Linked DNA regions of Callithrix jacchus. The protein of the gene in region 2 interacts with the protein of the main gene of each other region in a pairwise test. Links are inferred from orthologs where the notes say so. Each region holds a gene or a part of one and is shown on either strand. Other genes may lie near its edges.

The links.
Region 1: the proteins of FAM161A (region 2) and MIPOL1 interact in binary tests that used the Homo sapiens proteins (3 or more experiments, as listed by UniProt). The two-hybrid records come from large-scale screens. The link is inferred for Callithrix jacchus from reciprocal best matches to the Homo sapiens genes FAM161A and MIPOL1.
Region 3: the proteins of FAM161A (region 2) and CADPS interact in a two-hybrid assay, tested with the Homo sapiens proteins (2 studies listed by BioGRID). The two-hybrid records come from large-scale screens. The link is inferred for Callithrix jacchus from reciprocal best matches to the Homo sapiens genes FAM161A and CADPS.
Region 4: the proteins of FAM161A (region 2) and NUTM1 interact in binary tests that used the Homo sapiens proteins (3 or more experiments, as listed by UniProt). The two-hybrid records come from large-scale screens. The link is inferred for Callithrix jacchus from reciprocal best matches to the Homo sapiens genes FAM161A and NUTM1.
Region 5: the proteins of FAM161A (region 2) and LZTS2 interact in binary tests that used the Homo sapiens proteins (3 or more experiments, as listed by UniProt). The two-hybrid records come from large-scale screens. The link is inferred for Callithrix jacchus from reciprocal best matches to the Homo sapiens genes FAM161A and LZTS2.
Region 6: the proteins of FAM161A (region 2) and CCDC136 interact in binary tests that used the Homo sapiens proteins (3 or more experiments, as listed by UniProt). The two-hybrid records come from large-scale screens. The link is inferred for Callithrix jacchus from reciprocal best matches to the Homo sapiens genes FAM161A and CCDC136.
Region 7: the proteins of FAM161A (region 2) and CDR2 interact in binary tests that used the Homo sapiens proteins (3 or more experiments, as listed by UniProt). The two-hybrid records come from large-scale screens. The link is inferred for Callithrix jacchus from reciprocal best matches to the Homo sapiens genes FAM161A and CDR2.

The regions. Positions count from the first base shown.
Region 1 is NC_133509.1:71,854,757-71,858,795, reverse strand, and holds the start of MIPOL1 (mirror-image polydactyly gene 1 protein), read right to left. Parts: upstream 2,801-4,039; 5' UTR 2,742-2,800; intron 1-2,741.
Region 2 is NC_133515.1:52,292,843-52,296,342, reverse strand, and holds part of FAM161A (protein FAM161A), read right to left. Parts: coding exon 2,897-3,500; intron 2,540-2,896; coding exon 2,372-2,539; intron 1-2,371. UniProt on the Homo sapiens protein: Involved in ciliogenesis.
Region 3 is NC_133516.1:44,309,964-44,313,463, reverse strand, and holds part of CADPS (calcium-dependent secretion activator 1), read left to right. Parts: intron 1-1,069; coding exon 1,070-1,171; intron 1,172-2,661; coding exon 2,662-2,725; intron 2,726-3,123; coding exon 3,124-3,247; intron 3,248-3,500.
Region 4 is NC_133509.1:54,044,561-54,046,941, reverse strand, and holds part of NUTM1 (NUT family member 1), read right to left. Parts: intron 2,036-2,381; coding exon 1,899-2,035; intron 1,403-1,898; coding exon 1,113-1,402; intron 828-1,112; coding exon 711-827; intron 359-710; coding exon 1-358. UniProt on the Homo sapiens protein: Plays a role in the regulation of proliferation. Regulates TERT expression by modulating SP1 binding to TERT promoter binding sites.
Region 5 is NC_133513.1:93,952,708-93,956,691, reverse strand, and holds the start of LZTS2 (leucine zipper putative tumor suppressor 2), read right to left. Parts: upstream 2,801-3,984; 5' UTR 2,640-2,800; intron 1,604-2,639; exon of another isoform or gene 1,472-1,603; intron 1,304-1,471; exon of another isoform or gene 942-1,303; intron 89-941; exon of another isoform or gene 1-88. UniProt on the Homo sapiens protein: Negative regulator of katanin-mediated microtubule severing and release from the centrosome. Required for central spindle formation and the completion of cytokinesis.
Region 6 is NC_133512.1:118,379,540-118,383,039, reverse strand, and holds part of CCDC136 (coiled-coil domain-containing protein 136), read left to right. Parts: intron 1-82; coding exon 83-406; intron 407-3,500. UniProt on the Homo sapiens protein: May play a role in acrosome formation in spermatogenesis and in fertilization.
Region 7 is NC_133513.1:22,965,431-22,969,423, forward strand, and holds the start of CDR2 (cerebellar degeneration-related protein 2), read right to left. Parts: upstream 2,801-3,993; 5' UTR 2,497-2,800; coding exon 2,418-2,496; intron 1-2,417.

The DNA.
Region 1 (4,039 bases), on a different chromosome or scaffold from region 2:
AACCCAATCTCCATAAAAAATACAAAAATTACCCCTGGCGTGGTGGTGTGTGCCTGTAACTCCAGCTACTTGGGAAGCTGCGGGCTGAGGTGAAAGGATTGCTTCAGTCCAGGAGCAATCCAGAGGCTGCAGTGAACCAAGATCACCCCATTGCACTCCAGTCTGGGTTACAGAGGTAAACCCTGTCTCAAAAAAAAAAAAAAAAAAAAAATATATATATATATATATATATATATATATATAGAGAGAGAGAGAGAGAGAGAGGTATAGACAGATAGATAGATATATTACTATGGATCTATACTTCTCCAACATAGCCCATCTGTTACTGATTGCACATGCAATCAATTGGCAAAAGACTGAACAAATATTTTTCAATAGAGCAGGGGTTAGTACATTATGGCCCACAACACAAATCCAGCCAGTGGACTGTGTCAAAAAAAAAAAAAAAAACTAACTGGAAAGCCATTAGGTTAAGACAGCTCCAGCACTTTGGGTTCCTATGTAAACAAACCAAAACCCAACTCAATATAAACAGTAAAACTAACTTGAGTTGAACCAGTCAGAAACCACCAACCAACTTCTAACTAGAGACATTCCACTGTAACCAATCAAATATGTTCTTTGTCTGTTTCCATAAACACCTTATAAAAGTTTTTCCCTCACACCCTCTTGGTGGAGTCTTGAACCACTTGTGGTCTGGTGATACCCAATTTATGAAATTGCTGAATGCTCATATAAACTCTAAAATTTTAATGTGTTTAAAGTTATCTTTTAACAACTGTTTTTGTATAACCCACGTGCTAAGAATGGTTTTTACATTTTTAAAGGGTTGGGGAAAAAGAAAAGAGGAAAAAAAGAGAAATGAATATGGAACAGAGACTGTACAGCCTGTACAACCTAAAATACAGGTAATCCAAGCTTCACACATTACTTGGTTAACTGAAACTCTACAAAGCAAGGGCTGCCTACATTTACTGTCTGTTCCCTTACAGAAATAGAGGATATCCAAATGCCAGTAAACACATGAATATGTGTTCAATACCATTAATCATTAAGGAATTTAGGCAAAAATCCCAATGTTATGTCACTATATGCCTACTAGAATGGCTAAAATGAAAAAGACAATGTGAAATGTTGAAGCATTTGGAAAAAACAGAATTCCCAGCCTGCCACCAAAGTGTAAATTGACACAATGTAAATAACTTTTTGGTAGTGTATACCACAAACACACATCTGCATATCCTGTAACACAGTAATTTTACTAGTAGGCATATATGCAATAAAAATGTATACATAATTTCATCAAAATATTTATAAAAAGCTTCATAGCAGCCCTATTGGTAATAGCCAAAACTAGGTGGAATACTATACATACAGCATGAGAATAAACTGAAACATAACTTGAATAAATCTTATAAACATAATATTGAGTAAAAATCAGACACAGAGGACTAAATACCATATTACTCCATTTATGTAAAGCAAATAATAGGTGAAATTCATTGATAATGTTAGAAGTCCAGATAACGATTATCTTTGGAACTATGAAGTGGGGCTTTTGGAATGCAATGATGCTCTTTCTTGATCTAGATACTGGATATGTGGATATATATACTTTGTGAAAATTCACTGAGCTGTACACTTATGATTCATGCATTTATCTATATGTCTTTATACTTTAAATATTAATGCAACATAAATATTTCTATAAACTCTAGGCCTTTGAAGGAAAATTGTATACATCTCCCATTCATTTTGCTGATTGCCATCATTATCTCCCATCAATGAAATGTCTTGATTCCTATTACCTTATATTAAAAAGTCAGCTTTGTTTTAATTAATTTTATTGGCATATGATTGCATAGAATGATTATGTAATCATTTTCGATTAATTCCATAACAGATCACAAGGAAAAGCTTTGAAAAGCCAATAATTTGTAATAGTATATTCAAATTATCTGGGGAAAAAAACCTCCTTGAAGTGTAGTTTTGTTTGGCCCTTTGTTTTGGCTTATCTCTGTCTACTACTACTGTGATTTAACCTACATAAAATGCTCAAAGAAGCTTTTCCAAATGTCTGTGCTTGTGGAAAGTTGTTTCTTTCTACCATCCTTGACTAATAATGCGCTGTCTTGTACCCTTCAGTTCCCTCCATCCATCGAGCTTAAAATGCTTCCCAAATGTTGCACTGGGCCCAGGGACATTGTGAACCAAAAAAAAAAAAAAAAAAAAAAAAACCTAACAGTATCTTTTTACAGCGTGGCTCAGCGCGCCTAAAGAAGCACCTCATTCTTCGCTCACACTTCCAAGTGTGAAAACTGAAATATAAAACGATTAAGTGATTCTCTCAAGGACACAGAGTCGATCAGAGGTTGAACGAGGACTGGAAGCTTCTGACTAACCGCGACTTAAGAGGGAAAAAAAGAAACAAAAAACAAAAACAAAAAACATACACCCCTGAAAGAATGCTCAGCTGCTCAGCTCCAGTATTAGGAAACTGGAGACAAAACCGAAATCATACCCAGAAAGAGTTGTCTGCCACCTGAGGACCCCACCACACTGACCCTCGAGGGCCCCTCCTCACTCCCGGCCGCGCGGGGTCAGCATTCACCGAGTACAGACTCTGCGCTGCCCCATTTCCTTCTCCAAGGAAAGGTCTGCGGTCGAAAACTCCAGGGCTGATCTATACCCACCACTATCACTCTCCGTCGCCCAAACCGCCCTGCCCCACCGTTTACCTGAGATGCGCCCGGCGTCGCCTGAGGAGTCGACTCTGCGAGCTCGCCCAGAGTTTCTCAGGCCCAGTGCGCAGCCACCACGTCAGCCAATCGCCGCAGGCTCGGAGCCTCCCGGCCCCAGGCCCACCCACAAATGACCGGGCAGGGGTGCGGGGCGGGGCCCGGAGCTGGAGGGAGAGTGGGAGCCGGTTGCCGGCGGCACGGGAGGGCCTACGGTGCGGCGCGCTGCAACACTGGGTGCAGATGGCGCGCACCGGGCATGCGCATGCCGCGCCGCCTGGCCGCGAGGTGGCTTCTCCAGGCGAAAGAGAGCCTGGGAAGGGCAGGGAAGAGTTTGGAGAGAAAGTAGGCGGACTTAAAACGCCGCCGTGGCTGCCCTAAACGGGTCGCTTATTGTTGTCCAGATCCCGACGAGGAGCACAAAACGTCCTTTCTCTTCCGAAAGAGCAAAACGTTATCTGGACAAAACCTAATCTGATAAGAAGGGGGAGAACGGAAAACTGAAAACGGCGTCTTGTGGCTTCACACTTGGCCTCGCCGAGTTTTCTTAGGACCTGGCGAAATTTTGGTTTCCTTCTTTGTGTGTGGGTTGGGATGAGAGGTGGGAGGGGCGTGTTTCGAAGCGGCGGTCAAGTGAAAAGGGCAAGGGATCGAGCTCCGGTTGAGTGAGCGATAGTACTACCTAGGTCCTGGCCAAAGAACGTTTCATACTAAAACCTTGGAGCTGGTGACTTTTTTTTTTTTTTTCTTGACTGAAGTGCTGGAAGGAGATCTGGATTATGTACGATATGTGAATCATCTAAGAAAAAATCTTGAACCTTCCAGAATTTAACAAATTCCAAAGTTTGTTCCATAGTTCAGAATTGCTTTTATAAATGTCACTTTAACTCCTGTTACTCATAATTTCTTCAGACACCAAATACTTAGTGAGCACATACTATGTGCCAGGTACTCTTCTAAGTGCTGAATAATGAACAATATTTTTTAATACACCCCAGAGAGTAGGCATAATATGAAGTACTGACGGGTTCCTAAATTGGTGTTTAAGTTAATGAAAGGAACTTATCCTTTAGTAAGTGTACAAAAGAGAGTTTAAAAAAACTAAGAAAGGCCAGGCGCCATGGCTCACGCCTGTAGTCCCAAAAGACTGAGGCTTGAGCCCAGGAGTTTGAGACCAGCCTGGACAACATAGTGAGACCTTTACTTTATTAAAAATCAAAAAAATTAGCTGGGTATGATGGTGCATACCCGTAGTCCTAGCTACTAGGGAGGCTGAGGTGGGAAAATCACTTGAGCCC
Region 2 (3,500 bases):
TTCGCGTCTCCTGTCTCTCTCTCAATCCCTACTCCCTCCCTAGGGTCTCCGTTGCTCGTCCCGCGGGTCGGGACAGATTTAAATTTAGGGTTACTGCCATTTGATGTTAACTGGCTGTTTTATCCATTCATTGATGAAAATTCTTCTTTATGTTGGTGCTCTTTACTTTTTGGTATATTTTAGTAAGGCTAATACTGGTTGTTTCTTTCTGTGTGTAATGCCTCTTTCAGAAGCTTTTGTAAAACAGGCCTGGTGGTAATAAAATCTCTGAGTACTTGCTTGTTCATAAAAGATTTGATTTTTCCTTCAGTTGTGAAGCTTAGTTTGGCTGGATATGAAATTCTGGGCTGAAGGTTCTGTTCTTTGAGGATGTTGAATATTGGCCCCTACTCTCTTCTGGCTTGTAGAGTTTCTGCTGAGAGATCTGCTGTAAGTCTGATAGGCTTGCCTCTGTGGGTAACCTGACCTTTCTCTCTGGCTGCCCTTAGTATTTTCTCCTTCGTTTCAACCCTGGTGAATCTAACGATTATGTGCCTTGGGGTTGCTCTTCTTGAGGAATATCTTTGTGGTGTTCTCTGTATTACCTGGGGTTGAATATTGACCTGCTTTGCTAGTTCAGGAAAATTTTCCTGAATAATCTCCTGAAGGGTATTTTCCAGCTTGGATTCATTCTCTCTGTCGCATTCAGGTACACCTATCAAACGTAAATTTGGTCTTTTCACATAGTCCCACATTTCTTGGAGACTTTGCTCATTCCTTTTTATCCTTTTATCTCTAATCTTGTCTTCTTGTTTTCTTTCATTAAGTTGGACTTTGACCTCTGTTATCCGTTCTTCTGCTTGAACAATTCGAGTGTTTAAACCTGTGCATACTTCTCGGAGTTCCTGTATTGTATTCTTCAGTTCCATTAATTCACTTATATTCCTCTCTAAGTTGTCTATTCGCAATAGGATTTCATCAAACCTTTTTTCAAAGTTCCTAGTTTCTTTACGTTGGGCTACAACATGTTCTTTTAACTCACAGAAGTTTCTTATTATCCATTCCTTGAAGAGTGATTCTGTCATTGGGATGCGCTCGTTCTCCATCAAGCCTTGTTCCATTGTTGATGTGGAACTGTGATCATCTTTAGAGGGAGAGGCGTTCTGATTTTGAGTAGTCTCAGCCTTTTTACGCTGGTTTCTTCCCATCATTGTAAATTTATCCTCCTGTCGTCTTTGAAATTACCAACTTTCAGATTAGGTCTCTTGATTGGACGTCCAAGTTGTTAGTTCCCAGGGCCAGAACAGCAGCGTTAAGACTGATGGTGCTTTTCTGCCCAGGATTCTCTTGTCTGGCTTCCTTCTTGTGTCCGTAATGGGTGACTCTGCCTTCCCAGGGCTCCAAACCTTGGTCAGAAGGGGAACCAGTCTCGTTTACTCTGCGCCGAGAGCTGCCACACTGAGGTGCCGTCACAGCCGCTGCACCGGTCTCAGGAGTCGTGCTGGGGACCCATGTGGGTCCTCCAAACCTCGGTCAGAAGGGGAGCTGGCCCTGTTTACACTGCTCCGAGAGCTGCCGCGCCAAGGTGCTGGCGAAGCCGCTGCGCCGGCCACAAGAGTCGCGCTGGCGGCTCGTGTGGGTCCTTCAAGCCTCGGTCAGAAGGGGAGCCAGCCTTGTTTACTCTGCTCCGAGAGCTGCCGCGCCGAGGTGCCGGCAAAACCGCTGCGCCGGCCACAAGAGTCGCACTGGCAACCCGTGTGGTTCCTCCACTGGGGATCTTCTGCTCTGTGAGCGACCAGAATTTGTCTGAAAGGGTGGCGTCCTCTAGTTCTCTGCTCTTTGACTGAGAGCTGCAATCCCGAGCTGTTATCGATCGGCCATCTTGGATCATTCCTCAAATACCTTTATTTTTATATTGAAACTAACAAAATGCTACTAAACATTAACATATGTGCTGATGAACACATCACATAATAGATTTTAACATCAATGTGTTAATTTGTGCTATCAAGACTTCATGCAAACCTTAGAACAAAGCTCTTTGATATATCTGTTTACTGCAATCAAAAATAATCAAAAATAATATAAAGAACAAGATCAGATGCTGGTATAAAATTATAGCTATTAACCAAGGCCACAATAGATGATGTTTTTATTCATCAACATAGCTTCACGGTTCTCACCATGAAGCTGAGTATATATGTTGGTTCTCACCACAAAGTGAGTGTGTGTGTGCTAAACGTAAGTAACTGATGACAATTTAAATCCATAAACTGAAACACAAATGCCATTTTCAATCTGCTCATATTTTGCTATCTACTGATTAAAAAAAAAAAAAAGAAAGTAAGTTTGAAAACCAGTGGTCTGGAGGTTCAAGATTTTTTCATGATACCTGAGATATTTTACTTTGCATTTAGATATCTGAGCTAAACTTTGATGTGAGTCATAAGCCTTAGCCCGGGTTGTCAGGAGTTTCTGCAATTCTTTCATTCTTTGCTTCTGTTTAGTTAGGATCCGATTTCTCTCTTCTTCCAATATTTTCTTTTCCTCAAGTGATCTCCTGAGGGTAACAAACTAAGGCTTAATCCACTTGAAGCCAATCAGAATGTTGTTTAGCAAAGATTTAACATGGGATAATTCAAAATTGGAAAAAAGGCAACCTTTTGAAAAGGATCTGATTTGTAAAACTAGAAATCTTAAGATTAATATTTTCTAAGCCCCCAAAATTTATAAAATGAAAAATACATTCAATTCTTAGAATACCCTCTGATTATATATCCTATATTATATAATAAAATATATTATAGATACAATAATAATTTCTATGTATTTTCAAATTCACAAACATAAATTCCATAGAGCTGCATACACTCATCTGGCAACATGAGTCATTCAGTACTGTGTCTTAGTTACTTACCTTATGGCTTGTTCTCGTTTTCTGGAAGATACCGTGGGCACTGGAGGGTTGCAGGTATAAGGCACAGGCTTTACACCTGTACATCTTACTGGTGACTTATGCCTTGGAGACAAATAAGGCCAACGTGTTTCTTTTAAATTTTCTTCATCTGCTTTGATGTCTGCCAAAATTTTTTCTCTTTTAGTAGATGCATGTGGAGATGCATGAAGATCAAATGGTTTACACACGGTTAAGAGTTTTGGAGACTCATGTTCTGAGAGGTGTTTCTGGTATCTCTCAGGAAGGGCCTCAAAATCAGGAGTCCGGCACCTAGCCTTGTGTTTACATTTCAACTTTACAGCCTGTTCAGGACACCTGGGATTCCTGCATCCGCAAGCTGACCTAGAAGGCAGAGAAGATGAGTTCTGTAAATGCTCCTGGGCTCTCAGCTGCGTCCTAAGGTTTCGATAGAGCTCTTCTTCTTTTAACTTGCCCTTGGTAGCTGAACCATAAGTAGATTGAGGAATGGGTCTGGCTTTAAATCGATTTGTTTTCTTTTTAGACTTAAAAAAGTCTCTCAGCTGCTTTTCCTGGGCTGCTCGCTTCTGTTCCTCCCTTGCTATAA
Region 3 (3,500 bases), on a different chromosome or scaffold from region 2:
CTGGATCCTTGAGAAGGCCTATAAATAAGACCATTTGTTTGGTCTCAAGATGACTTGCATTTGCAAACTGAAGAATGTTCCAATAGAAGTTTGATGGTGACACACCAATCTGCAAACTGGCTCAGCCAGTAGTCAAAACAAGTCACTATGAGATCTGGGAAGCTGAAGACTTTGAATGGGTCAGATTATCCTGCATCTAGTTTGAAACAGATAAATTGGAGCTATAAATATATAGCCTCCCTTTAGATTTTCAACTTGAATGATCCATAACAAATAGGGGATATATGTACACACCTAAGGCGACACAGAACCATGAGAATATGATGATCAAACTGAAATCACTTATTTAAACTGGAGTTCTTTTTATTACAATGAGTAATAGTTTACTAAAAATTGGAAAACATGGTTTGTTCTTCAATGAATACAAGATCACTTAAATAAATCCAAACATCTGTAGTTATAAGCAGGAAATCGAGCAATGTAAGATGTTTAACACTGGGAATGACAAACACTTACAAGGCATCTGATTTTCATAGGAATTTGTGTAAATAATTCAGGGATCCCAAAGCCAAGTGCCTATAAAAGAGATAGGTAATACAATTTAGGAATGTGGACCAGGTGAGTGCTTGCCCCAGATAAGGAAGAAGCTGTTAGCCAGCAATTAATAATGCCAGCTGTTTCATATTTTCAAGAAAAAAAAACAGAAATCAGAGTTGTATTCTAAAACTTCCCTGATTTTAAAAAAATGTTGCCAAGTAGTTCAAATTTCTTAAGAAGCTGTGAGCCAAACAGAACAAATTCAGGGGCTGTACTTAAGCAGCAAGCCACCAGTTTGCACATTTTACCATGTCACAAAAAGTGAGCTACAGCTCTGCATGTCTCCAAAATGATAACCCAAACACAACCCAGCTCTTTTGGAGGCCAGCCCTGAATAGCTGGGCTCCTCCTGAGGTCACATCTATCATTGTAGTTGTTCCTTCTAAAATAGACAGTTTCCTCCTGCTAGAGATTTGATTTGATGGTGTCAGCATATGAAGTTCCCGTCATTTCATGACATGTCTTCTTTCAGGCCTGACGGAATCGGAACTGTGACTGTTGAAGAAAAGGAGCGTTTCGAAGAAATCAAAGAGAGACTCCGAGTTCTGCTGGAAAATCAGATTACACATTTTAGGTAAGGATCTGGGGCTTGAGGGCTTTGATTAGGAGATGAGAGTGGAAAAAGATAGAGGGCTTAATGTTCCAAAACTGTAAATCTACCAGAGGATAAGTTGGATATTTGGAAATAACTGAGTAGAAGAAGCAAACCAATCAGCCTTGCTTCCGCAATAACCAGGAAAAGTTTGCATTCTTAAGTTTATGTTATTTCCACTTAAAGAACAAATCCTGCCATGTTCGAGCTGACCCTGGTCATCAATCTATTATAGAAAGTTGGATTTGAAGTTTCTTCAAAGTTCCTAAGTTAAAAAACAAAAATTCTTGCAAATCAGAACATAGTGAACAAGAAAGGAAGGCAGTGGTACTCCTAGGAGAGTCTTCGTTTTCTCCCCTACCTCAGAAACACGACTAGCTGGCTGCACAGGGAAAGAACGAACCTTGGATCCACCTGGGTGGATTGAAACTTCCCTGCATACTCGAAAGAGCCAGCAGATTCTGCACTTGAGCCTTACACCACATTGCCCACTTCTCCCTTGGAGCAAATTAGGTGTTTTTAATGCTGTCCTAGTGGTTCTGGACCAGAGATCCTGAAATAGAAACTGAAAAATAATACTAGCATTTCTAATGGTCCCTATTGATTAAATACTTCCTATATGCCAGATACACAACTGGAGGCTGGAGAAGTGTTAGCCCATGTCAGAACAGCTTTGTAAAGTAGTTATCATAATCCCCATTTAAACCAGGAATAAAACGAGACTAAGAGAGGTTAAGGAACTTGCCCAAAGCAAGCCAGCCAGCAAGTGGAAGTGGAATGCTTACATAAGATAGTCTGTGTTTAAGTATCCATGCTAGTCTCTCTGTCCCATGTGCAGTGTCCTGAAGGGCCAGTGACAACCTGAAACCAGTCACTGGAACTCATAGTGGTATCTGACATAGTTTTTTCTGTGCCATCAAAATCCTCCTGGATAAATCTTTATTGATCTTACATTATATGTAAAGTGCATTACCGGTAGCAGAAGATCCATAACAGTAGCAAACCGTAAGCAGGGAAGGACAGCTAGCAGAATCAATAATTTGCTCTAAATCCACTTTTCTATTCCATATATCAATCTTTTGGGGACTTATGTAAATGTATTTGAATTTGAGCCAATTCTAACTAATACTTTTTTAACGCCAGTCTCAATAATAACATATAAGGTCACATTTGAGCTAACGAATAGTTCTCCTTCACAATAGAAATCTAAACAGAGCCTTATGTCACCACTCTGAATATTCTTTTCTGCTACAGACATTTGCAGAGTCCCTCTTTAGTCATTATTCACACATACACATATATACATTATATACACACATATATGGTGTGAATTCAGATTAACATAACACAACGTGACAAAATAAAAAGCATTTTCCATTCCTCAGAGAGAGTTGCTATAGGAATCAAATTGCAGCATATTTCATGCTAAAATGTAATAATTTAGGCAACCTGAAGAATTTTGTCTTTTTTAGGTATTGCTTTCCATTTGGTCGACCTGAAGGTGCTTTGAAAGCTACTCTCTCACTCTTGGAAAGGGTAAGAATAAAAGTAAAAGATAGATCATGTATATATAAAGAGACATAAACATAATTGTAATGAAATGTTTTGGTTGAATGACCTAGTTGTAATTTTTATAGGATTTGTTTACCATTCAACAAATATCAGAATAGAAGGGAGGAAACTGCCAAAACTCATGATATTCTATCTTCAAACTCCCAAATAGGATATACTGAAGATATGTTCCTAGCCCTTCCCTGATTCATGGACAGCCTTTGCCAATGCTTTGCAGTTCTGGTGCTTTCTCTTTAAGCATGGCTCTCAATCTGTATTAAGTCACAAAGAACTGATTTTAAACTTGCACACTTCTAAGAAATGTGGATGAGTGACACGTTTGCTTGAACCTTCTTAATAATCCTTCTTTTTTCTACTCGAAGGTTTTGATGAAAGATATTGTTACCCCAGTGCCACAAGAGGAGGTAAAAACAGTCATCCGTAAATGTCTGGAACAGGCTGCGTTAGTCAACTATTCTCGGCTCTCAGAGTATGCCAAAATCGAAGGTAAGGCTCCCTTCTGCCCCCAGTTTTGAACTTAAATTGTGATATGCCTCCCTGGGGAAGTCTTTCTTTTTTCTGAAGGGCACCTGAAAACAGTGGTCTATCTGAGTATATTAAGCTGAAACCTGAAAGTACTTGAAATGTGGAAGCCTCCTTGGCTGTGGCCAAGTAAATGAATTAAAAGACATTACAGGGGCTCAGAAAACAGCCTTTGTAAGGGAACAATATTGAAAATAAGATGTTATCAGATAACTAA
Region 4 (2,381 bases), on a different chromosome or scaffold from region 2:
CTCTCCTCTCCATACCCAAGGATCCCAAAGTTCCCTGTGGAGCTGCAAGTTCTGGCTGCAGGTCCCAACTGCTGGGGGCTGGCAGAGTGTTCCCATTCCTGTGCATCTCTCTGGAGCTATCTAGGGATCTCTCCTGCCCACTATGCACTTCTCTTGCCTGTTTTCCTGAAGAAGAAACCTTTCCAAGGTAAACAGCACCCCCAGCTCCCCGAAGCCCAGGTAAGGGCCAAAACCGCCCACCCCCATCTTCATTCTCATCAGAAACAGAAGGACTTGACTCCAGCTGAGTTCCACTGTAACTTAGAGACGCCTCCACATCTTCCTCCTCTTCCAAGGCCAAGCGTCGCTTCTGGACCAGCTGGAAGAAAATGGACAAATAATCAGTTCTGCACATGGTTGTGAGAAGAGGTGACTGAATGAGTGGTAAGAGATGGTATTTGGGCAGGGCAAGGGAGGCAAGCAAGTAGTTTAAGCGATGGTAGCAAAGACAGATACTGCAGCTCTTTCCCACCTTCTTGTGCCTTATTCCCATGCTTTGAACCCTTACATTCTCATTTCCTGTGTTTCCAGAGCCCTCTACCCACTTGTTCTGCACCTAAAGCCCAATTCTGAAACTGTTCATCTCTAGAGCCATATTATCCATGACAGTGTAGGGTTAGATAACATCTTGCACGCTTCTTGTCCTGATATTCCCTATATCCCATTTTTACCTGGGCAAAAGTGAGTCCTTCTTCTTGCTCTAGCTCCTCAATTAAGGCCAAGGGATCTCTGTGTTTTTCTGGGGACAGCAGATCTGCCAAAAATTGAGGGTGAATGATGGCCTCCACCTGGAGAACAGAAGGAAAAGTGATATGAGCCCTTAAGCAGGTAACCTGTGAGGCAAGGGGCTGTAGAGAAGAAGCCATGAGCTCCCCAGCTGTCCCCTCTTACCTCTCCTGTATTGTTGTAAACTGACTACCACCAACTATACACATTCTCATGATGTATGCACACACATTTCTCAGTTACAGAATAAAACCTAATTCCTACTACCTTGGACAAACCCCAGAGCATTAGTTCCTGGGAGTATCCACAAGGATCTGCTAGAAACCAGATGTGCAGGCCCAGCTCACCTTGGAGACAAAGACCTTCTGAGAACACAGCTCGTTGATGTAGCTCAGAAGACCTGGATCTGGATACAGCCCTTCCTCCTCCTGCTGCTGCCCTTCTTCCTCTTTCTGTTTTCCATCTGACTCCCCAGTGGCCAAGTGAGTCCCCACCAGCTCTTCCATGATGTCAACATATTCCTGCACAGCTTCTGGTGGGATCTCCTCGGGTGCCTCAGGAACAGGAGGTCTCCGGGGTTTACGCTGACGCTGGCTGGGGGCCCGTGCCTTAGGGGCTGCCTTCTTCAGAGTGTACACTAAGGGAAAAGATAGTCAGGAGAATGGGAAGTGGCACAGAAACCACAGCTTCTGCCTCCCAGCTCTGTAAGGCCAGCAATCTGGGTACATTGAAGTGGTTCCAGGCTGGATTGGGCCAACCTGAAAAAGTACCAGTCATGGGAGATTTAGGACCTAGAGGTCTAAGAATCACTGTATGAGGAATTTTTGAACCCCTGAAATTCCAAGAAACCACCTGATCCAGCTTCCATTTAGGCAGATGAGGTATTATGTGCCTAATTTACAGTCTTGGTGAGAGTAGTTAGTCTACTTGACCAAGATCAATACCTATTTCAGAACAAAAGGAACCTGAGAACCCAGCCTCTTATGGGATGGTCTGTTTGGAACATCAAATGCCACTCTCCAGAGGGAAAGTGGCAGAGCCCGGGCCATGCCTTCTCTAATCTGTGAGTGGCTTCTGTACACCACCCTTTGAGCCTTTGGCCCATGGCTCCTGTCAAAATTGAGTAGCCTCACCTGGTTGCTGGCAAACCTCCGAGGCCAGGAGCTCTGGAGGATCAAGTTTCAAAGGGGTTGCAGAAGACAGGCCCTGAGACCCTCTCATCAACTGTGTGTTCTGAATCTGCATCTCCTCAGCCTCAAACTCCATGAACCTACAGAGGGTGAGAAAGGTGTAGGCAATGCTAAGGAGGAGACCAGACCCATCAGAAACCCAGGTGACAGCCAAGCATGGCTAAGAAAGGACGTGTCTCAATTGGGCAAAGTCTGCCTAAGTCATGTCACCCAGGAGGGTGCTCACAGGTGACTTAATCACAGCTCTAGGGAAACCTTGGGAGCTCAGCACATAGTTCCTTTCCCTATAGTCATCACTTAGGAAGCTTAAGAAAATGAATGGCCAGGTTGGGTGGCTCATACCTATAAACCCAACACTTTGGGAGGCTGAGGTGGGTAGATTGCTTGAGCTCAAGAATTCGAGACCAACCTGGGCAAAATGGCAAA
Region 5 (3,984 bases), on a different chromosome or scaffold from region 2:
CAGCGCTCCACAGGCGCGCCGCCCGGCTCCGGCCCCGATCCCGGCCCGCGCGCCGCCACTCCGAGCGGCCCGGGCCGGCCCCGCCTCCGCCTCCGCGGCGCCCCCCGGCCCAGGCCAGCCCCCGCCCAGTGCGAGTGGGCGGCGCTGCGCAAGGGAGGGTCCGAGGGCCGTCCCCGCCCCGGGCCGCGGACACGCTCCGGCACCCGCGTCACGCGAGTCCGCCGGGGCGCACGTAGGGGCTGCTCGGCGGCAGTCGGGAGCCCTCCTTCCGACGCCCTGTGACTGCGTGTCCGGGGACTTGGCTCGGCTCGGCGGCGGCGGTCACCCTCCGCCCCAGCCCGGGCCCGGGGGCCGGCGGCAGCTGGTCATTGTTACAGCACAAAGAGCCCCGGCGAGGCGGCGGCGGCCGCCCCTCCCCCTCGGCTTCTCCAGGCGAAAATTCCCTGACACGCTCTCAGCCTCAGGGTCCCAAGCAGGAGGCCGAGGGCCGGCCGCCCCCCACTCTCCGGTCCGGGGGCCCCGCGCCCTAGCGTGAGACGGTGGCCAAAGCTCGGTCCGCGCCTGCCCCACCCGCGGCGGGTTGCAGGCGGCAACCTGGGCTTCGCGGAGGCGGCGCCACCTGGCGGCCGACTCGAAGAACACACTCAGCCTCCCCCCACCACACTGGCCCTGTCCCACTCCCCGGCACGGTGTCCTTTCCCCCGCGAACCCAGGCCGGCCTCCCCTTGGGATCACTTTTTAAAAAGAGAGGCCATTTCTCAGAGAGGGGCAGTCCTGGCTCCCCAATATCACTGGGCGAGCCGGTTCCAGCCTACAGCCCAAACCTACACCAGCCTCACGGCAAACAACATTCCACTTTCTCAGGATCGCAGACATTTTCACCTTCTCGCGCACAACACAGTCCCTAACACCCACACGACCTTTCCCATAGGCAGCCTCACCACGCAGCCACAAGCAGTCTCAGCTGTCACGTGGGACCGCGTTCCTTCTTTCCATAATCTTCCAGTCCATGTCACACACAGACACGGTGTCACAGGCCTGTTGTGGAGAGGCTTCCACAATTCGCAGTCCTTCGCACCCAGTCACAGTCTCAAATGCACTTAGTCTCCTGGCCATCTTTCACACATTGACAGCCTCTATTGACATTCACTCACACGGACAACTTCTTACACACACGCCGTGCTTCACAAATATCCTATAGCACAGCCTTTCCCTTAAGGGTCTCGGTGACCCGGTCAGGTCAGCTGATGCCTGCATCCCTGGGCAAAGACAGCCTTTCTCCCCTAAGGACTCCCTCCCCCCCAGGGCCAAGGCCTGCCAGAGCTCGTCCGGGCCCCAGGAAGGAGCATCCCCCCCTTCCAGGCCACAGCCCTGGCCCGCTCTCAGCTCTATTTTTAGCTCTATGGATAGGGTTGTTTTTCTTTCTTTTTCCCTGGAAAGGGAAACACAGCCCAGCCACCCTCAGACTCACCCCAGACCCTCAGCCTCACAAGAACAGACTGAGCCCCTCTCCCCAGCAAAGCCCCCTCCTCTGGCCTTGCCCTGATCCCTGCCTCCTGGGGCACAGAGAGCCTCCTCCTCTTTCTGGCAGCCTGCCCATCTCAGGCAGCAGCTGGGCTCAGCGTGTGTGTGTAGGGGTGGGGGGGTGGGGCGGGGAAAAGGAATCAAGCTACTGCCCACTCCCTCATTCCCTGGGGGGAGGAGCTCGCCCTCCTTTTGCTAGGGGGGTAGGCCCACTCCAGTATTGAGGGGGCGTTTACACTCATGAATTTTCTCGGGGGAGGAGACTCGGAATCCCACAAAGAGTGGAAGTGAGGGTAGGAAGGGGACCCTCAGGCGCTCAGACAGCTGCTCTCTGGGCTGGGGTTAATAGGCGGGGGCAGCTGTCCACTGTCATCAAGGGCCTGTCTCCGAAACTTTCCGGGATGTAGACACCAAGAATGTGCTGGGAAGAAGGACGTCCAGGAGCCCGAGTTACCCCGGCCCTGCCCAGCAGCCCGGCCCTCCTGCTCCGCCCCGGCTCCAGGGGGCGCTGTGCTCCGGTGCCTGGGAGAGGGTTTATCCCGGCTCCAGGCGGAGAATGGAACGCCGTCCGGCCTGGGACCAGGCAAACGCGCCCGGGACTGGGGTTGGGGTCCCCGCCCCGTGGTGGGGTTGGGAGCACTGGCCACTGATCTGCGGAGCGATCACGTGCGCCACGCCTGTTTACGTCTTGGTCTTCACCTGCGGGCGGCCAGGAAGCAGGAACCTCTGGGTGCGTCCCACCCGGCCCGCCTCCATTGCGGGCACGGGGCTGCCCCTTTCCCCCACCCAATACGCGACCGCAGAGTGTCCTGGCCGCTGGGGGTACGCGCGCGCCGGCTGGCGCTGTCCCTGGGAGTGCAAGGGTAGCCAACTGGGCGCGTCCTTTCCGAGTGCTTGTGTATTCGCATGTCCCAAGTGCGGGCGTGGGTCTGTGCACGCGTGTGTGGGGACCCGTTGGCATGCGTTTCCGTGTCGCTTCCCTGTTCTGACTCTTCGCCTGCGCCCGACCCCACTCCTCATCCCCACCCCCAGCTTCTCCAGAAGCGGAAAGTTCGCTCTGGAGCGGGGATGTGCAGGAGGCGGGAGTTCCTGCACCTCCGCCGCCCACCACTCACCCAGCGCCAGCTGCGCCTCGGCTACAGCTCCGGCGCCGCTCCTGCTCCAACGCGCTCGCCTCCTCGCTGCGACAACGCCGGCTCCCTAGCTCGCTCCGAACTCTGGGCTCCGGGCTCCGGGCTCCCGGCTCCCGGCTCCCGGCGCCCGCCTGGCAGGACCTGGTGGAGCAGAGCGGGGCGGGGCAGGGCGGCTCAGGCCGCGCCCCCCACCCGGGGAGGGGAGTGGTCTGCCCCGCACCCCACCAACAGCCGACCCAGTGCCCAGCCCAACAGTGGCTAGACAGTGGCGGAGGATGCCTCTCTGGCCTCTGACTTCACAGCTTACCGGACTTGGTTTTCCACCTGGGGAAAAGGGGCGATCATCACGTGACCGAGAATTCTGCTACCTGGCTGCCTTAACTAAGCTGCCTATAGAGCCTGACTCCGCCACTCTCCCCCCTGCTCGGTTGGGAGCCCAACCAGTCCACTCTGGGCCCAATACCCAAGTACAAGGAAAACCCCTGGGAAGCACACAAAGAAGACTTGAGTTTCACCAGAGCAGCTCCCACCTACCCCCACCATGCACACACCTCACTTGGGGCCGCCCAAGCAGAACCAGCACAGCCCCCTCCCTGGAGTAGGTGTCTGCCCAGGTGAGCAGGCCTGCCGGTTTTGACCTCCCAGGGGGCATGGCTGGGCTTCTTTTAGACTCATAAAGTCCCACCCACAGGCACAAACAGGAAGTTGGCCTGTATTGCAAGGAGGCCCCAAGGGCTCCCTCCCACCATGTCACTCAAGGCAGCATGTGGGTAGGTCTACAGGTACTTGGGCCATATGAGCTGCAGGAGACCTCGGTGAGTTGTGGCTTCTGAAATCCATCCACTGCAGAGAATAAGCTGCTGGAGGACCAAAGCTGACCCCTCACAGCCAAGTATGACACACACTGTCCATCACAGGACAGGGCTGCAGATGCAACTGAACCTGACTCAGCCAGGCCTTTCCTGAATTCTCAGGGAGATTTTTTTGAAATGTTTTTTTCTTCCCAATCCACCGAACCTGCGAGTCAGGGAGATTCTTACCATCCAGTTGGCTGTAGGCAGACCAGTCCTGTCCCAGGAAATCTGCATAGGCCCTAGGGACACCGCACTGCTTTCTAGAATCCAGGGATCTGAATAGACTAGGCCTGATCATGACATGGGGTGTTTAAGGCAGGCATGGAGTAGAATGTGTCTGTGCAGGCAGTGGGGCTGGGGGGTTATTGGCTTCCCCTCCCCATCATTCTGGTTTGTGCTGTGTGGGGGTGTATACTAGAAGGGTGGGGCAAGACAAACAGGCAAGTCTGTATCTATCCCTCTATTCCCAGTTC
Region 6 (3,500 bases), on a different chromosome or scaffold from region 2:
TCCCTTTAATTTCATACCTCTAGAATATGGTATATATTAGTTCACCTGCCCTCTTCACCATCTCAACCTTTGGGCTTTGCAGGTGAGCTGCGTTCTCTGCGGGAGGAGATTTCCCTGTTAGAGCATGAGAAAGAAAGTGAACTTAAGGAAATAGAACAGGAACTACATTTGGCCCAGGCTGAGATCCAGAATTTGCGGCAAGCAGCGGAGGATTCTGCAACTGAACATGAGAGTGACATAGCGTCCCTTCAGGAGGATCTCTGCCGGCTGCAGAATGAACTTGAAGACATGGAACGCATTCGGGGAGATTACGAGATGGAGATTGCCTCCCTCCGTGCAGAGATGGAAATGAAGAGCTCTGAAACATCCAATAGTTTAAGTCTCTCAGATTTCTCTGGGTTGCAAGGTATGAGAGCAGTCAAGTCTTTCAGTAAAGTCAAGCAGAGGAAAGGAGAAAATATGTAGGAAAATGGTAGAAAGTGGTGTTAGATCATAAATTGGGAACCTCTAGAAAAAACCTCCAGGTTTGGGGGTGATGGATCACAAGGTCAGGAGATTGAGACCATCCTGGCTAACATGGTAAAACCCCATCTCTACTAAAAATACAAAAAATTAGCTGGGCATAGTGGCATGCATCTGTAGTCCCAGCTACTTGGGAGGCTGAAGCAGGAGAATTGCTTGAACCCGGGAGGCAGATGTTGCAGTGAGCCAAGATCATGCCACTGAACTCCAGCCTGGCAACAGAGCGAGACTCTGTCTCACAAACAAACAAACAAAACAATAAGAACCTCCAGGTTGAATTGAAGACTGTAAAAGGGCCAGGCATGGTGGCTCATGCCTGTAATCCTAGAACTTTAGGAGGCCAAGATGGGAGGATCACTGGAGCCCAGGCATTCATAACAAGCCTGGGCAACCAAGTGAGACCCTATCTCTTCCTAAAAGAAAATTTTAAATAAAGGGGGGAAAACCTACCCAGATGTTACATAACTGGTCCATGGTGGTGTAAGAAATAGCACCATGGAGAAGTACCCTGGGAATTCTTCAGAGTCATTGGGTCTTTGTTGATTTGACTATGGGAAACCCCTTCCTGGGAAAATTTCCAGCTCTAGGATGGGCAAAGAGGGACCTGTCACCTTGGGAAACTCTTCCTGCTGCCCTGGCATCATGGCGCTTTGCCTGGACTGCTTTGTGGGGGGCCTCTGGCCCTGCTTCCAGGTGCAGGGATGCTAATTCTTAGACTCCTTTAGCTCACCCCAAAATAGAAGCTTTAGGGGGACAACAAATCAGAGGACAAGACAGCCAGAGAAGAAAAGTTATTGCTAGTGATACATGAGATACCTAAAAGCCTAGAGCCCTGCTTTCAGACAGTGAGTCTCCCAGCTAGTTGCTAGGATTCATGACATCAGAGAGTTTGCCTTTATTCTGAGGCTAGATTTATGATCTGAGTATAATGGAGGTCCTATATTTGGCCAGGTCAAGCAGAGGCAATCAACAAGGAATCAAAGAACTGCAAGTTTTTCCAGCTGGACCAAACCTCTCAGAAGAGCCTTTAGACTAAATGGTGCTGGGAGAGGAAGGCTGGCACAGTGGGAAGGCTTGGGCTGGAGTCAAACAGACTTGAGTTCAGAATCTCAGTTCCACTAATTAGCAGGATGAACATGGGTAGTCTGGTTATGGTCTTTCTCTGAGCTTGTTTCTATATCTGGGATATGAAATCGAAATTGGTTAATAAAACCTTTTTTTCTTTTTCCTTTTTGTGGAGAATGGGGTCTTGCTATATTGCCCAGGCAGGTCTCAAACTCCTGGGCTCAAGCTGTCCTCCTGCCTCTGCCTCCCTAAGAGCTGGGATTACAGGCGTGAGCCACTGCACCCGGTCAATAAAACCTTATAGCTAGAGGGGATCCTGAAACAGGAAAAGGACCTTAGGGAAAATGTAAAGAAATCTTAGTCAAATATGGAGTTTAGTTCATAGTAATGCATCAATATTTGATTCCTTCGGCATGACAGGTATACCATGGTAATGTAAGATGTTAACAATTCCGGAAACTGGGTGAGAACTCTCCCAGGAAACTCTGTACTATCTTTGCAGATTTTTTGTAAATCTAAAACTATTCTAAAATTTAAAGTTTATTTAAAAAAAAAAACTTACAGAGCTATTGTGGGAATTAAATGAATGTGAAGCATGTTGAAATCACTTGCACACTTATTGAATACGAGGCTGAAACTATCAAGTCTAATGCGTTAGTTTTCATTAAAGATTAGTTTCCTTCCTTCCCTCTATGGTAATCTGTAGTATTCTAAGGAATTCTGATTAGAATTAACAGGAAACATTAGAAGTCACTTTTAGGCTGTTGAATCTTCCAGCAGGTAAGATAGGTCGTGGGTTCTACTTAGAACAAGTTAGTGCTCTTTAAATATCAGTAGAATTAGTGTTCTAAGAGACATAATTCTTTTTTAATTATTTGCAAATGGACACCGAGTCTCGCTCTGTTTCCCAGGCTGGTCTTGAACTCCTGGGCTCTAATGATCTTCCTACCTTGGACTTCCAAAATGTTGGGATCACAGGTGTAAGCCACTGCACCCAGCCAACATAATTCTTCATCATGAAGAAACAAAACAGATACAGGTGTTTGTATCATTACAGCCTTAAAAAGTATTGGTGGGTGGGCATGGTGGCTCCTGCCTGTACTCCCGGCACTTTGGGAGGCCAAGGCAGGCAGATTACTTGAGCCCAGGAATTTGAGACCAGTCTGGGCAATATGGCAAAACCCCATCTCTACAGAAAAATTCAAAAAATACCCAGGCTTGGCGGTGTGTGTTATAGTCGTAGGTACTCAGGAGGCTGAGGTAGGAGGATCACCTGAGTCCAGGCAAGTCAAGGCTGCAGTGAGCCATGACTGTGCCACTGCACTCCAGCCTGGATGACAGAGTGAGACTATCTCAAAACAAAACAAAACCAAAAAACAAAAAGTATAGGTATAGGTGACTGGTGCTTAGAGACGTGTGCTGGGGTATGTCAACTAGATCTCTTCTAATGCTTGAGGATGAGGATGGGCTTTTCTGTCAGCAGATAAAATGCCATTTAGAAAGAATTCTTTTTTTTATTTTTAATTTTTTTGAGACAGAATCTCACTCTGTCTCCCAGGCTGGAGTGCAGTGGTGCAATCTTGGCTCGCTATAACGTCCACCTCCCGGGTTCAAGTGATTCTTCTACCTCAGCCTCCCGAGTAGCTGGGACTACAGGCGCCCACCACCATGCCTGGCTAATTTTTGTAGTTAGTAGAGATGGGGTTTTGCCATGTTGGCCAGGCTGGTCTCAAACTCCTGACTTCAAGTGATGTGCCCACCTCAGCCTCCCAAAGTGCTGGGATTACAGGTGTGAGCCACTACGACTGGCAAGAATTCTTTACCACATCCTGACCAGTGTATTTGGTGTGGGAATAAAGGACATAAAATAAACTCAGAATGCCTGAAAGACAGGTACTGGCAGTCACATGTGG
Region 7 (3,993 bases), on a different chromosome or scaffold from region 2:
AAAATGTAACAGCCCTTTGAAAAACACAGAAATGCAACTGGCAGTAAAGAGGTTCAGACCTATGTGTTGTTTTTTTGAGACATAGTTTCATTCTTCTTGTCCAGGCTGGAGTGCAAGGGTGCCATCTCCGCTCACTGCAATCTCTGCCTCCCAGGTTCAAACGATTCTCCTGCCTAGCCTCCAGAGCAGCTAGGACTGCAGGCGCCCGCCACCACGCCCAGCTCATTTTGTATTTTTAGTAGAGACGGAGTTTTACCATGTTGACCAGGCTGGTCTCGAACTCCCAACCTCAGGTGATCCGCCTGCCTCGGCCTCTCAAAGTGCAGGGATCACAGGTGTGAGCCACTCTACCCAGCCCAGACCTGTGTTTTTAAGGTTTGTTAAACTTGAAGAGCTAATGACTTTATTTTGATCAGAGGTTAAAGAGAATTCCACCTGCAACCCTGACACCTTGCACTTGCTTCTCAGTAGACTGAAGTGTTACAGCTAGTTGTTCCTAACAATCTCCCACAGCGGGAGAATGCAGCGTGGAGTAAGGTACCTGATGGAAGAGAGCCATGGAAAACAATTTTGTGTGAGTGCTTTAGTTCAGTTCAACAAATATTAAAATTGGGCTTCCAGTATGTAACAAGTATTATGCTAGATGCTGGAAATAACCTGAAAAAGGAACCTACCCCCTCTATTCCCTTAAAGATTTATGCTTCTTAAATACAAGAAAGAAAAATATTTAGTTATGATGATACAGATTGCTTAAATTATAGGGAAATATTGCAATGGCACAGTGGTTGCCTCATAAATCCTGGAGAAACTATCAAACTAGGCCATCAATCCTTATGGGGAAATCTGAAAACAGGTTTGTTAAAATGTATGACAGATTTGTCTTTTTGACCTAAAGAAGATGGTGCCGAACACTGCACGGCAACCACTAAGTAGCTTGGAGTCTATAGGCATAATAAGGTGAATTACTTTGGTTAAAGTGATTGCACGTTAATTTAAGAAATTATCTTCCTCCAAAAGAGGTGCTTATTATCCTTTTCTGAATTATTCAAGTCTAGATTCTTTTCTTCTGCCACGTTCGGTTAGCATGAACAAGCATCATGATCATTTAATATTCAACTAAATGAGATGTTAATTTTCACTGCAAGATTAGTGAAAGCATTTACACAAAATTACAGAAACTGAAGATGCCTGGAAAAATTCTTGAGGATTATTCAGTATTCAGCACAGTGGTTAAGAATGTTCTGGAGTCTTAAGGGGAACCCTAGCACTCCCCAACATTACTACCTCTATTGTGTTACCAGGAGAATTAAATGAGCAACTGTGTTATGGGCTTATCAGTGTTAGGCACATAAAAAGTGTTTCCCAACTGCTAGCTCCTATTAGTATGAAAAAAAGGGGGGCCCACTGGTCCCAAAGTGCGGGCCGCTCTACGATTGTTCTCTGGAGACACCACCGGCAGGCCTGTTTCTAAGTGAAAGCTGGCATGCAAACTGAAGTGACAGAGGTAGAAGGGCTCTTCTGCCGTTTCAATTGGCATCTGGTGAACTATGTCTAACAGCTTAACGCCCAATTGAAAAAAGCTGTAAACTAGGATGGAAAAGAAGAGATGGGGTTTGAGCAGTGACTACAATTCCGAGTGTGTGGTTCAAAAAACACTCCCTCCACACTTAGCTTTAGGCAAGCGACTTAACCATTTGAGCCTCCCCTTTCCCATCTGGAAAATGGGGTAACAAAAGTTACTTTCAGTGTAATTGGTTTGTTAGTATCTCAACGGATAAATGCTGGAGGGGATGGACTCCCCGTTTCCCATCATGTGCTTATTTCACAATGTGAGCCTGTATCCAAACATCTCATGTACCCCATAAATATATACACCTATTATGTACCCTCAAACATTAAAAAATAAATTTTTGAAAAGTTACTGCTTCCTGGAGTTCCGTTACGTGCGGAGCACACAGCTCCCGCTAGGCGCAAAACCACCACCACCTGCAGCGGCCGGCCCTCCGCGCTGGCCATGAAAGGCGCTGGGGTCGACAGGCTGCGAGGGGGCGGCTTCCCGGGTTCGGCCACTTACTGCGGGGCACCTGGTTCACCCGGGTCTGTCTTGGAGGAATGCAGCGAAGATTAAACCAGTTAATCCAGGGAAAGCGCTTAAAACGGTGCCTGGCGCGCCGCTGGCCCCCACGCGCCCTGGGGCCGATATTGAACTGCGTATTTGCAGGGCCGTGGGCCCCGCGCCGAGGCTTCCTGCGGGCGGGATCCGCAGGCACCGCCGGCCCCGCCGCCAGGTGCGCCCGAGCCCTTCCCGGCACCTGCATCCTCCACCGCCAGAGAAAGCAACTTTTTAACAGTTCCGCATCGGGAGCCTCCTGGGCCAGGCCGCCACCCGCCCGCCCGAGGGGCGCCCCCGCCCTCACCTTGCTGGAGGTCCTGGTGGTCGTACCACGGTTCGTCCTCCTTCATCTCAAACTCCTCCACCAGGTTTTCCGCCAGCATCTCCGCTGGGTCCTCCGGGGGCAGCGGCTCCCACCGCCGCCGTCCCACCTCAGCCGCTGCCCCGGGCTCTCCCCCGGTCCCTCCGCCCTCAGCCAGAGCCGCCCTCGGGTGGGACGCGCCGCCGCCCAGGCTCCGCCACTCCGCCTCAGCCCTGCTCCCGCCGGCGGCCGCTACCGACCGGCCGCCTCCTTGACTCGCGTCGCGCCACCCAACGGCCCCAACGGCCCCAACGGCTGGGCGTTCCGACGCGAGGGCCCCGAGCCGGCTCCTCACGCCGCCGCCGGGCCCAACGTGGCACTTTGGCAGAACCCTCCCCGGCTGGGGATGCGATTCAAACCCCCGGCGGCTCCTCAACCAATCGGGAGCGGGCCGCTGGCCGAGCGGCAGCGACTTCGCCCAATCGCGTCTCTCCAAAGGCGCGCGGCTCGCCCGGTCTCGAGGGCATGCAGCCAATGTCGGGCCCGGAATAAACAAAGAAGGCGGGGAAAGAGTGAAGGGGTGCGGCCGAAAGCCCGCCCCCTGATCTGCGCGGTGCGGCTCCTAGGAGCGTGTTCTGGGGTCTGGGCTGTGGAGCCCGCCGCGCCGCGTCCTACCCCTGCGGTGGGTGTCCCGAGGCCGGCGCGTCCGTGGATAGGCAACGAGGGCCTGAGGGTCTAGAATTCCGACCTCTGAGAGTTGAGCGGTTGTCCAGGGAAGTCCTTCGTGCCGGCGGGAGGCGCAAGGGTGCCAGAAGCGCTTGGTCCGCCGCCCGCTCGCCCCTCTCGCATCTTGACTCAGATTTGCTCCGAATCTGGCGGGGAGACTCGGGGTCGATCGGGAGTTTAGGGCTAAGAAAACGCCCATTGAGCGGTAGCTTTTGTCTCCTTGATATCTGAGCCCTGGGAATTGTTCTGACGCTCCCTAAAACGGTGGGTGCCAGACCCCCTTGAGAATTTGGGGCGGGGAGGGATGCCCGAAGCAGTCCACTTGGAAGGAAAAAATTGCAAGCAGTGTTGCATACGAGTTTTAAAAGGTACCCGTAGACCACAAGTTAAGCATCTGGGGACATGACATTGCACCTGGAGGGGACAGGCTGCAGCCCCAGCACTTGGTAGCCAGCGAGGCAGAGCACGCTGTCTGTCCTCCACCGACAAAACCCAGCAAATACTGCTCGTGGGTTAAGCTTTTAGCACCATCTTGCAGACAAAGCACGGAAACTCTTAAGCAGGATGACAGACCTGAAGGTCAATGTTCTCAACCTTGAAGTAAAGGCAAAGGTGCAGCCGATGGAAGACAGCAGAACCAGTATCTTGCTAAGTTTGAGCAACAAAACAACAACAAAAAAATCGAGGTTTAAGTATATAATTCAAAGATTAGAACATAAGGTAATAATTGTTAGAAGTGGAGAGGAGTGTTAGTTAAATCCTGATCTATTTTAGCAGTGAGTCGGCAGATAATACCTTACATTGATAATCCAACAAATCGTTTCCACAAATATGGAGAGAGCTGCCAGAACTG